Linked DNA regions of Ovis aries. The protein of the gene in region 1 interacts with the protein of each later gene in a biochemical or structural test. Links are inferred from orthologs where the notes say so. Each region holds a gene or a part of one and is shown on either strand. Other genes may lie near its edges.

Region 1 (3,442 bases):
GGACCTTTGTTGGCAAAGTAATGTCTCTGCTTTTCAATATGCTATCTAGGTTGGTCATAATTTTTCTTCCAAGGAGTAAGCATCTTTTAATTTCATGGCTGCAGTCACTCTTTAATTCCAGACATTTGAATCTTGGCTTGTTGATCTGGCCCATTAAGTAGGGATCCTCTTCATCTATCAAAATCATATTCTGGATAAATTATATAATAACAGCAGCATTTCACAGGGACAGTTTTATAGAACATTAGTTCTGTGGAATAGTAGAATGTTTCAGTGTGCAAAAACGTTTTCAGAGTAAAAAAATAAATAAATAAAGAGGGACACCCTGTATTAATCAGACTTGGTTTTTTTTTTCTTATAGGACCTCCTAGAGCTTTGACATGTGTTATGAATCTCCAAGAGAGGGATACTAAAGCTTGCTGTGTCTCTCAGGCTGATTTGAACACAGAAGCCTTTCCTTACACAGAACATCTCATGGAATTCGTAGTTTGTGGAAGATACTTTGGGAAGTGCTGAACTAAAGAAAAGACTTTTTTTTTTTTTTTTACGTCATTTACATACCAACCATGTTTTCTGAGTTGCATCTTCACATCAGTCTCTGAAGGAGAATTGAAAAACATATTTGCTGTATCGGAAATACATTTACAAAGCATCCATTTGGGTAAGTTAATTTAACTAACATTTTACCATACTTCTTTTAGAAGTATCATTCTGTGAATTCTCAGAGTCAGTGTCTTCTAGTCAAAGGCCTTTATGAACACCCCTGTAGTTGAACAGCATTGAGTGTATTGACTTGTTGTATCAAGGAGAATGCACACCATGGGAAATCAGAATATCTCAGGAAGAGGGTGTTGGAAAAGAATTCTTGCAGGAATTGTGCTTCTGTTAGGTAATTTGGGGCTTACATTAAAAAACAGAGGACTTTGCAGAAACAAAAATGGTTATTAGTTCTTATAAAAAAAACTCTGTAAAATAGGGACCCGGACTACCATACCCAGACAATGAAAATATGTCTCCCCAAGCCACTTGTTTTTTTCCTTAGACATCTAGAAGTCTGCCCCTACCTCTGCAGTTATGGGCTGTCCTGTAGTATTTACATAGGTAAGGCAAGAAGTGTTCAGTATAAATTTCTCTTTGACTAGAAAAGAAGAAATTAAGAACCATGTGATTATCCATGACAACTATGCCTAGTAAATTTACATTTAAACCAATGCTTGGTCAAAGATTAAAAAAACCTGCACACTTCTAAGAGTGGTAAGACAGATTGTATTCAATAATATACTATTGCAATTTTTTCAATAATATACTAGTCCAACATGAACTGAACTCAGAAGTAACTGGATGTTTTATTTTATTTATTTATTTTTTTTAAAAAAATACGTATTCATTTATTTGGCTGTACCGAGTCTTAGTTGCAACACGCAGGATCCTTGTTGGATCCTATGGGATCTCTCACTGCTGCGCTCCGACTCTCTAGTCATGGATGTATGCTCAGTAGGTGCAGGGCGCAAGCTCAGTTGCTCCATGGCATGTAAGATCTTAGTTCCCTGACCAGGAATCAAACCCACATTCCCTGCACTGCAAGGAAGATTCTTACCCATTGGACCACCAAGGAAGTCCCTGGGTGTTTTAAAAAGAGAATGAGAGAAAGGAGAGGAGAGTGAGTGAGCAGGGGCTCAGTAGAGTCAGGGAATTTAAAAAATTACAAATAGGAAGGAGGGGTTGGGTCCAAGTGGAAAGTATCTGGGTTTTCTAACTGGTACTTAAGAGACTGGGCTCTTACCCTCCCACAGAGGCTTGAGGCAGAGGCCCTATGTCCAGGTGTTGGCTGGAACAAGCACTGAATTCTTTTGGCAGCCTTGAGATTTCTCAGGCTATGTAAGAAGGGGTCATCCTTGAGATGCAGTCTTGAGTTGTTCATAACTATGTTAGTGTTTTTATGTTAGTTGTTATTCAAGTCGCATAAGTCAAGGTTGACACCTGGTTGACAAGAGGATTCAGAGGAGCCTGGCTAGAGTTTCATCAAGAAGAGAATCTTTGTCAGCTTCCAGAGCAGAAGATGTGTAATTGATGACTTTCTCCAGGGTCAGAGACAAGCTTCAGATGATCTTCATCTGGACCCTGGGCAAGAGTTCCCCTAGTCTGAGACTTCAGCTTCAGTCAAATAAATGAATGGTTATTCTGCATTCTAGAAGTTTACCATGAAATGAAATGAAACATATAGTAAAGACAGATGGTAAAAGGATAAGCACATGGTAAAACATAGCCAATATTTTTTGATTCAAGTTTCAAAGAAAAGCTAGTATTTCTCTCTGTTTCATTAAAACCTGGATAAATGTAAGCAATGAGCAGGAAGCAATTTTTTGTATCTGTTTCTTTTTGATTCAGCATGGAAAGAAAACTTGTGTCCTTATCTCCATCCATCTCCGCATCAGAAATGGAAATTAACAGCACCTTCAGCGATCACCATAGCAACAGGAACTGCACAGCTGAAAACTTTAAGAGAGAATTTTACCCCATCGTGTACCTGGTAATATTTATCTGGGGAGCCTTGGGAAATGGCTTTTCCATATATGTTTTCCTGCAACCTTATAGGAAGTCCACATCTGTGAACATTTTCATGCTCAATCTGGCTACTTCGGATCTCTTGTTCACAGCCACACTGCCCTTCAGGGTGGACTATTACCTCAGAGGGTCCAATTGGATATTTGGGGACCTGACTTGCAGGATTATGTCTTACTCTCTGTATGTCAACATGTACAGCAGCATTTACTTCCTGACTGTGCTGAGTGTGGTGCGTTTCCTGGCCACCGTTCACCCCTTCCGGCTCCTTCATGCCACCAGCATCAAGAATGCCTGGATTGTTTGTGGCATCATATGGGTCTTTATCATGGCTTCCTCAATAACGCTACTGAACAATGGCTCTGAGCTGAAGGGCAATGTCACCTTGTGCTTGGAGCTGAATCGTAATAAAGCTCCTAAACTGAAGACCATGAACTACATTGCCTTGGTAGTGGGCTTTCTGCTGCCCTTCTGCACGCTCAGCATCTGCTACTTGCTGATCATCCGAGCTCTGCTGAAGGCGGAGGTCCCAGAATCAGGGCTGCGGCTTTCTCACAGGAAGGCATTGACCACCATCATCATTGCCTTGGTCATCTTCCTCCTGTGCTTCTTGCCCTATCATATACTGAGAACCCTCCACCTGCTCCAGTGGGAGGCGGATTCATGCAGCGACCTGCTGCATAAAGCTGTGGCCATCACACTGGCTATGGCGGCAGCCAACAGCTGCTTCAACCCTTTGCTTTATTACTTTGCTGGGGAGAATTTTAAGGACAGACTAAAGTTTGCACTCAGGAAGGATCATCCACAGGAACCAAAGTGCTGCTTTCCTTTCTGTGTGTGGCTGAAAAACGAAACAGGAGTGTAAGGGGTTCTTGGGCAA
Region 2 (3,749 bases), on another chromosome or scaffold:
GAGGTCATTATTCCCAGTAAGCCATTCACTACAGACTAGAAATTGGGATTGAAACTGTGAGAGGCATTGCTCCCAGAGCCTGCCTTGTCACCCTAATACCTATACCCCTGAAGCTGCCACGCCATCCCCATAAAAAACAGCCCTGACTCTCTCCTCATGATGTTACCAAGGACTCTGGGCAAGAGGCCAGTAGAGACAGAGGCAGGGGGTGGGGACTGAAATGCCTACACAGCTTTGCTCTAAATGCCCTCTGGCCCTGAAGTTTGTTTTCCTTCTAGAAAACTATTGGCTGTACCAAAGGGGTCAGTTCACCCTTCCCCAGGGGAGACGCTGGGTCTCCCACCAGGCCCATGGAGCCAGGAGAGGCAGAGGCCAAGACAGAGAAAAGAAGTAGATCCCTTTTCTCTGTCAGCCTCTGACATGCTTCTTCACATGGCCTGTTGTCCGGGTTGCTCTCACAGCAGTCACAAAGCAAGTGTAAGCCCCAGGTCAGACCCAGGATCAGAGTGATCTCCCCAGCCAACACCCCACACACAGTAAGAGCCCCACGCGGAGGCAGCCAGGGGAGCCTCAGGGGGAAATGTGACAGAATAACAAATTTTCCCTGACGTGCAGATGTGGCCTCAGGCATTTCATTGCCGAAAAGTCTGATGGGGTCAAGTGAAATGTGGAAATTAGCCACAAAAACTAAAGTGATCTTTGGCGACAGTGAATATACTAGGCTCCAGCTATGCTGAGGCAAGCGACAGGTCTGAGCCCCATGCACACTTCACAAGGGAACTTTACAAACCAGACTCTGTTTGGAGCAGAGTAACAAAAATGAAGGAAATATTGACACTGTGCCAGAAGGAATAGGTGAAGAAACTAAGGATATTTATCCCAGAAAGAAGAAATGTTAGATAAAATGATTAACTTTCTTCAGTGATTTGATGAGATCCCACATAGAGAAGGGTTCCCCTGGTGGCTCAGACAGTAAAGAATCCGCCTGCAATGTGGGAGACCTGGGTTCAGTCCCTGGGTTGGGAAGATCCTGTGGAGAAGGAAATGGCAATCCACTCCAGTACTCTTGCCTGGAGAATCCCATGGACAGAGGAGCCTGGTGGGCTACAGTCTATCGGGTCACAGAGTCAGACACGACTGAGCGACTAACACACACACGTGGAGAAGGAATCCGGGTAGTGCTAAAACTCAGCATTTATTGAGTACTTACTATGCGCCAAAAAAGCAAGCTAATTATTTTATGCACACTTTCTCATTTAATCTAAACATCTTATTTAGATATTTTAGAAACATATTATTTCCATTCTACAAATCAGGAAAATTCAGAAAAGCTGAGAGACTTGCCCAAGGTCACATACCTAGTGGGAGAGCAAGCAGATGAGCCCAGGCCTGTGACTCAGCCACCATCCACAGACATGTTCTGTGTGGCGCTCTCAGCAGAATTAGGAGCAATGGTTGGGTGGAAGTAAAAGGAAGGCAGTTCTGAAGGCAACGGGAGGGAGAATTTTCAAACAACTGGAGGGTTCAACAAAGAATAGTGGGTGGATGCTGTGAGTGGTCATGAGCCACACACAACTAGAGATGGAGGCCGAGGATTCAAGAAGTATTAAATAACGCAGTTGTCAAGAATTACAGCAACAGCAGCACCTGGGAACTTATTAGGATCCCAGATCCTTGGACCCCACTGCAACCCTACTGAATCAGAAACTCTGTGGCTGGGCCCAGACATGTGTATTTTACCAAACTGTCCAGGTGATTCTGATACACACTCAATTTTGAGAACCACTGACAAGGAAGCTTCTACACTCTGCCAGGGACTGGACTAGATGACTGTGTTTGTCCCTTCCATCTCTAAGACATCACAGTTCTACAGAAGTGAGATACAAGTATGACTTAATTAACCAGATTTTAACACAGAGCACTTTATAGTAATATCCTGGAAACAATATATCAGCTGTTAAATTGTGTTATTGGACTCAGGCACCTCAGACACGTGAAGGCTGACAAGATAAATATCTGGGAGACTGTGGACACTGGGGCTGCCCCTCCAGCCAGCAAGCAACCTACATTCTAGCCACCTCAGCCACTTCACTGGTTTCCAAACAAGCCCCGAGTGGCCCCACTCCTTGTTCATTCCTATTATTCTTCTATCTGAAAAGCACTTACCTTTTGAAATTCTCTCTTCTTTAAAAGCTCAATTCAAATGTCACCGTTCATGAAAGTGCCCAATAGTGTCTGGTGCACGGATTAGTCTCTCTTCCGGCTTTCCTTCTCGGGTGTCCTCTCACTTCTGGGTGACTTGCAGCACCTGGTGCAGTCGGTCGGCTCTGGCTCACAGGGGTGGGGCCTCAGCAGAGAGTGTTCTCCTGAGAGGAGGCCAGCACTCAGGCACGTCAACCCCCCAGTGCCTACCATACAATGATTCTCAGTGAGGAGGGATCAGAAGCGGCATCTTAGGAAAATGATTTAGGCAACTATTTACAAGATGCACAGATGCCGCCTCACTGTAAGAAAGAAGCCCTCTATGATTCAGTTTCTAGCCCTGAGGTCTTTGCAGAACTTTGAGGTTTTTGCAGTAACCAGTGTGAATACATAGCTATGCCGTTGGGGCTCAGGGGGCCCACCTTCGTGCATCTACAGCCCTGTTATGTTCAACTCCTCTTCATGTTCATAACAATCTGTGTTATATAATCCCTGGATGATGAGAAATGCTGAATGCCCTCACAGCCAACCTTCTAAGTACCCCACAGAGACAAGCATGGACAAATCTCCTTTTTAGGGAACAGGAGGTCATAAATTTGACCACTATTGTATGGACAGCAAAGAAGGATACTGGGTTACCAGATACCAGGTCCAATTTAAGAGTTCGTGTCAGCAGGGCCAGGTGTCCTGTGGGCTGTGGTGGGCTGGCCTTGTGACCGGGATGCTGGTGAGAGACATGGAAAGGGGATGAAAGACCCCCCCTTCTCAACAAGGGTTTCTATACCACAGGCTCCTGGAATTGACTCATTCTGAATACTGAAAGCTGAATACTTCAGTGGAATAACAAGATGTTCCTGATGTATGTCTCACCTGACAACGCCCAGACAATGGTTTCCTTGTCCACTGAAAGGACCTCAAACTCCAGAAGTCCTGTTACTATTTGGGGGTGGGGCACAGAGTACTAAAAACAGGAATTCCCTGTCCACACAAGTGGAGAGGGACTCTAGTCATGAAAAATGTCACCCAACCCAATTAGGGCTCCTGGGTAGCCCAGCACTGGTTGGCAATCATGGTAGAGTTTGCTGCATAACCAGGGGATTCCTGTTGTGCTGAGTCCCCACTGGCACAGGGCCTGGCCCAGCCTTGCAGAGGTTAGAGCCCAGAGTTTCTCATTCTCAGACCAATGCTCTTTCTACCAAAGTACACAATCTAGAGTTTAGGAATAATCGTCATGGTCTCCCCAGCCATCAACAACCAAGGAGGAATAGAATAGAATGGAAATGGGTGAGGGGGTCACGAGTGAAGAAATAAGGTCAGTCACCCACCCCCTCACCTCTATGTATAGGACCATTTGACTGCCGCCATCCCTCATCTCCCTTGCTCCCCCCGGCCTCCCTGCATCACTCCTGGCCCATCTTCCCCTTCACCCTGAAGCAGCTCTGTTCTCTGTCCTGTGCTGTGCTTAGTCATGTTGGACTCTTTGCAATCCTACGGACTGTAGCCCACCAGGCTCCTCTGTCCATGGAATTCTCCAGGCAAGGATACTG
Region 3 (3,749 bases), on another chromosome or scaffold:
GCAGTCAATGAGGCATATTCTCTCCTTTCAATGAGCTTACCACCTTGTATGGAAAGAAGGGAAGGGATCTAACGCATAGTTCAGAATAAGCAGAAAACTGACAAGACACACATTTAGGAGAGTCCAGAGGAACGCTGATTTCTTCATCCTGGCAGGGTGCCTGAAGGCTTCTTGGAGGAGGTGTGCAAGCAGATAATGAGGACACAAATGGAAGGAGATTTCCATAACTGTCAGTCCCTCAGCTCCCAAAGCTACCAAAAGGCCCGTCTCTTCTCCCTGTCCCCCTCCTCCACTTCATCTGGAACAGGCCTGTTTCCAAAAGAGGACTAGCTCAGCCTAGCCCTCCTTTCCTCTGACACAGTCCTCCAGCTGCTGCTTGCCCTTTCAAGCACGCAGGCACATGTGTGAACTTTTCACCAGGGCTCAACCAGGGAAGAACCTGCATCACGGTGCTTGGTCATACAAGGGACCCCTTTAAGGGAATCCATTCCTTCTCTACTTCTCTACTCAGGGACAGCCCTGAGCCTATACCAAACTAAGATGCAAGGGACTCCCCGCAACCAGCAGCCATATCACTCCTCTCCAAGCTTCCCAGAGGTGAATTTGCTTCCACTCCCTTCTCTTAAGTGCACCCCTCAGGTCTCCCACACTCATCCTCTTCCTCCTTGGTGGTTAAGGCTCTGCAGCAAGGATTTTCAAACCCTCACTCTTGGCATCTGTGTGACCTTGGGCAAGTAACTGAACCAATATCAGTAAATGAAACAATGTCAGTCCCAGCTTCCTTATCGGTAACATAAGGGGGTTTAGAAGAAACACTCGCTCTCAGAATTGTTGTGCATCAGAACAAAAGAGTGCAAGGAAAGCATTTTACATAGAACCTGACACATAATAAGTGAATAAGAAACAGCAGCTATAATCATCTTCACAGGGATGATGACGATGGTTGCAGTGATGGGGATGGTGGTGATGTTGGTGGCAGTATAAACTCGGGCTTGAATGGCGCTGAAATACCCTCTCTATTCTCTCCCCCCACGCCACCCAAAAGTCTGGGGCCAGGCCACACGGGTTGAGACACATGCGTCATCCAGCTGTGGGGTGAATGCAAGATCTTCAAGCTGCAAGCTTTAGGACTGAAAGGTGGTGATGCCCTAGCCCACCTGGCCGGTCACGGGGTGATGCTGATTTTTTGATTAAGGATGTCCAACAATCAAAGACCCTCACCTCCTTCATACCCATTCTCTAGGTCTGAAAACAAATAAGAGATCAAAGAACACAGTAGCTGCGCCCGCTGCAACACTCGCCCAGGGAGCCAGGAGAGCGTCCACTTTGCCCCTGCCTCAGTTCCCCAACTCTCCTCCCGGTGCAGGCAAGCCACTGCTGCGCTTGGTTGCAGAGATAACAGGTTAGCAAACCGGGCCAGGGAAAAATCTCTGCGCTTCCCCGAGCTAACCCAAGCCCCTCTTCCCAACGCAGGTGGGCAAGCAACCCACAGCCTCTCAACAACTTGGTGTATTTCACCATCACTGGGCACACGGCCTCAACATCGCCCCTACGCCGCGTTCGCAGAAGAAAAGCGGGAAATCGGAAGGGGGGCGGGGGGGAGACTTCTCAGGCCGGTTCTTTTCTGGGGGCGCCTCCAGGAGGCGCGGCCCGACTTACCTTGTCTGACGGCTTTGAAGGTGACGGCCTCCTTGCAGCTGTCGATGACTCCCAGTACGTCATAGCGGGGCAAGCCGGACACCCGGATCCCCTGCACCTCCAGTAGCAACTCGCCCTCGCTCAGCCGAGGGCCCTCGCCGCCGCCGGGAAGCCCCGCCGCTTCGGTAGCCGTCACCGCTCCGACATACGGAAACTCTCCGTTCTCCGCGCCCCCCAGCACCGTCACCCCCAGCTCTCCCTGGGGTCCCCGTTTTACGGTGCATTCGTGAACCCTGCTAGTCCAGTGGTTCTTCTTCTGGATCACTTTCGACATGATGAGTTACACCCCTACTACGCCCGCCAAAAAAAATAATGATAAAATGAGAGACAGGTGCCCCCCACAGCACAAGCCCCCAAGCCCCTGCTGGTTCATGGGAGAGACATCTCCCCCCACAAACAACGCAGCGGGAGAGAGAAACTTGGCAGCCTCGCTCCCTTGCACACACTCGCTCACTCAAGCCATCATAAAACAAACTTTCTGGGCTTCCCCGCGAGCCCTGCACAGGCGCCCGCGAGCTTTGTTTGCATTCCGGTGCTTCTCGGTCCACGTTCCGGCGCCCGACCGTGCTCTCTGGGACCAGAGTCCACTCTGCGCAGCTTGGATTATTTTTTTTTTTCCTTCCTTTCTTTCTTGCCTCTTAGAAATGCGGTGTCTCCTCTTTGCCTCCCGCCTGGGTCGCCTTTCCTCGCTGGCGGGCAGTTTCTGAGGGTGAGGGAAGCCCTTCTAGGCAGTTGCTGGGAGCCCTGGAGACGCGGTAGCTGAGCGGGGGCGGGGGGGACAGGAGGGAAGTGCCTGCGTCCCCTTTAAGCAGATACAAAGGCTCGGCTTGTTTTGTTACAGTTCATTCTATTCCGCGCCGCCGAGCGCAGCGGCCGGCAAGAGGAGACGCGCGCGCATGCGCCCCGCGACCGCCTGCCGGCCGGCCCGCCCCACCCCGCCTTCCCGAAGTGAGAGATTCCAATGTGCTTCCCGTTGGGTCCTAAGTCCGACTTCTCCAGGATCAGCCACTTTTCTCCCCCTTCACACACCCTTCTCATTCCTACTTTTATTTCAGTGCTCACGACTCTGCATAGCCCCTTCGGGGGTCTGGGAGAGGAGGAAGTGTTTTACTCCAACTGACTGCAACTTAAAAACATGGGCAATCTGCTTGGGTATTTTAAAACCATTTCAAACAGGTGGGGGTTGGGGAGGCGCACACTCACCCTCGCGCTCACACTCACGCACACACGCACGCACACACGCCGGCCTAAGCTTCCTTACCGCCCTCGGCCAGTGGCTGGCCACGCTGTCCGTCACCCAGCCCACCCCCCGCCGCAGTTCCCTCTAATACCCTGACCCCAACCCAGAGGAGTGCGCCTGCCCGGCTTCCCCCCAACCTGCACTGTGAGGGCGGGTTCTGGTCTTTGAGTAGGGTGTGCCCCAGCCTCTGCGACCCTGGGGAGGGGGGGCCGTGGTGGTCCCCCAAATGGGATCCGTCACACGCCCACACACGTATACACACACTTATCTGCATCCTTAAACTTTAGGGCCAACTTTTCTGGACGCAGATAAAGTATAAGGCGAGGGAAAGAAGCCTAAAAGCAAGAGAGGCTTGGGGTCTTCAACCGAAAAGGGTCTAGCTCTTTAAAACTGGCGGCCAGAGACCTCTGGAACCAGGCGTCTGTCCTGGACTCAAGTTCCTGGCTAAGCTGGGCAGCCTTTGGACCCGCCCCGGGGCCAGGAGATAAGGATCACTCCTGGGTCTGGGATCTGCACCCAAGTCCTGGCGCCCGCGGGGGCGTGGGCGCGGCAGCCACCTCTCGGAATTCACAGCCTGGAGTTGCTGTTGCCTCGGGCACCGCCCGAGGGCGGGGGTAGAGCCAGCTAATGTCCCTGCTAGGTTTCGGAACGTGCTCGGGGGCTGCGGACAGAAAGAATATCCTGCACCGGCAAGGCTACCCTCCCTAAATACTCCCCAATCGGCCTGGGCGATAGTCTCCTAAACATTTTCTTTTCCTCAGTGATTTATAACTTATTTATCCATCTTGGGTCACAAGAGAGATTTCAAGTG

What was found. The genes of interacting proteins can lie anywhere in the genome.
Region 2: the proteins of CYSLTR2 (region 1) and PDZK1 interact in a test that uses a peptide from one of them, tested with the Homo sapiens proteins (2 studies listed by IntAct, with this or other methods). The link is inferred for Ovis aries from reciprocal best matches to the Homo sapiens genes CYSLTR2 and PDZK1.
Region 3: the proteins of CYSLTR2 (region 1) and MAGI1 interact in a test that uses a peptide from one of them, tested with the Homo sapiens proteins (2 studies listed by IntAct, with this or other methods). The link is inferred for Ovis aries from reciprocal best matches to the Homo sapiens genes CYSLTR2 and MAGI1.

What each region holds. Positions count from the first base shown.
Region 1 is NC_056063.1:18,786,385-18,789,826, forward strand, and holds part of CYSLTR2 (cysteinyl leukotriene receptor 2), read left to right. Parts: intron 1-361; 5' UTR 362-661; intron 662-2,388; 5' UTR 2,389-2,389; coding exon 2,390-3,423; coding exon of another isoform or gene 3,424-3,427; exon of another isoform or gene 3,428-3,442. UniProt on the Homo sapiens protein: Receptor for cysteinyl leukotrienes. The response is mediated via a G-protein that activates a phosphatidylinositol-calcium second messenger system.
Region 2 is NC_056054.1:99,065,616-99,069,364, forward strand, and holds the start of PDZK1 (Na(+)/H(+) exchange regulatory cofactor NHE-RF3), read right to left. Parts: upstream 2,293-3,749; 5' UTR 2,167-2,292; intron 1-2,166. UniProt on the Homo sapiens protein: A scaffold protein that connects plasma membrane proteins and regulatory components, regulating their surface expression in epithelial cells apical domains.
Region 3 is NC_056072.1:35,499,307-35,503,055, reverse strand, and holds the start of MAGI1 (membrane-associated guanylate kinase, WW and PDZ domain-containing protein 1), read right to left. Parts: upstream 2,577-3,749; 5' UTR 1,973-2,576; coding exon 1,660-1,972; intron 1-1,659. UniProt on the Homo sapiens protein: Plays a role in coupling actin fibers to cell junctions in endothelial cells, via its interaction with AMOTL2 and CDH5. May regulate acid-induced ASIC3 currents by modulating its expression at the cell surface.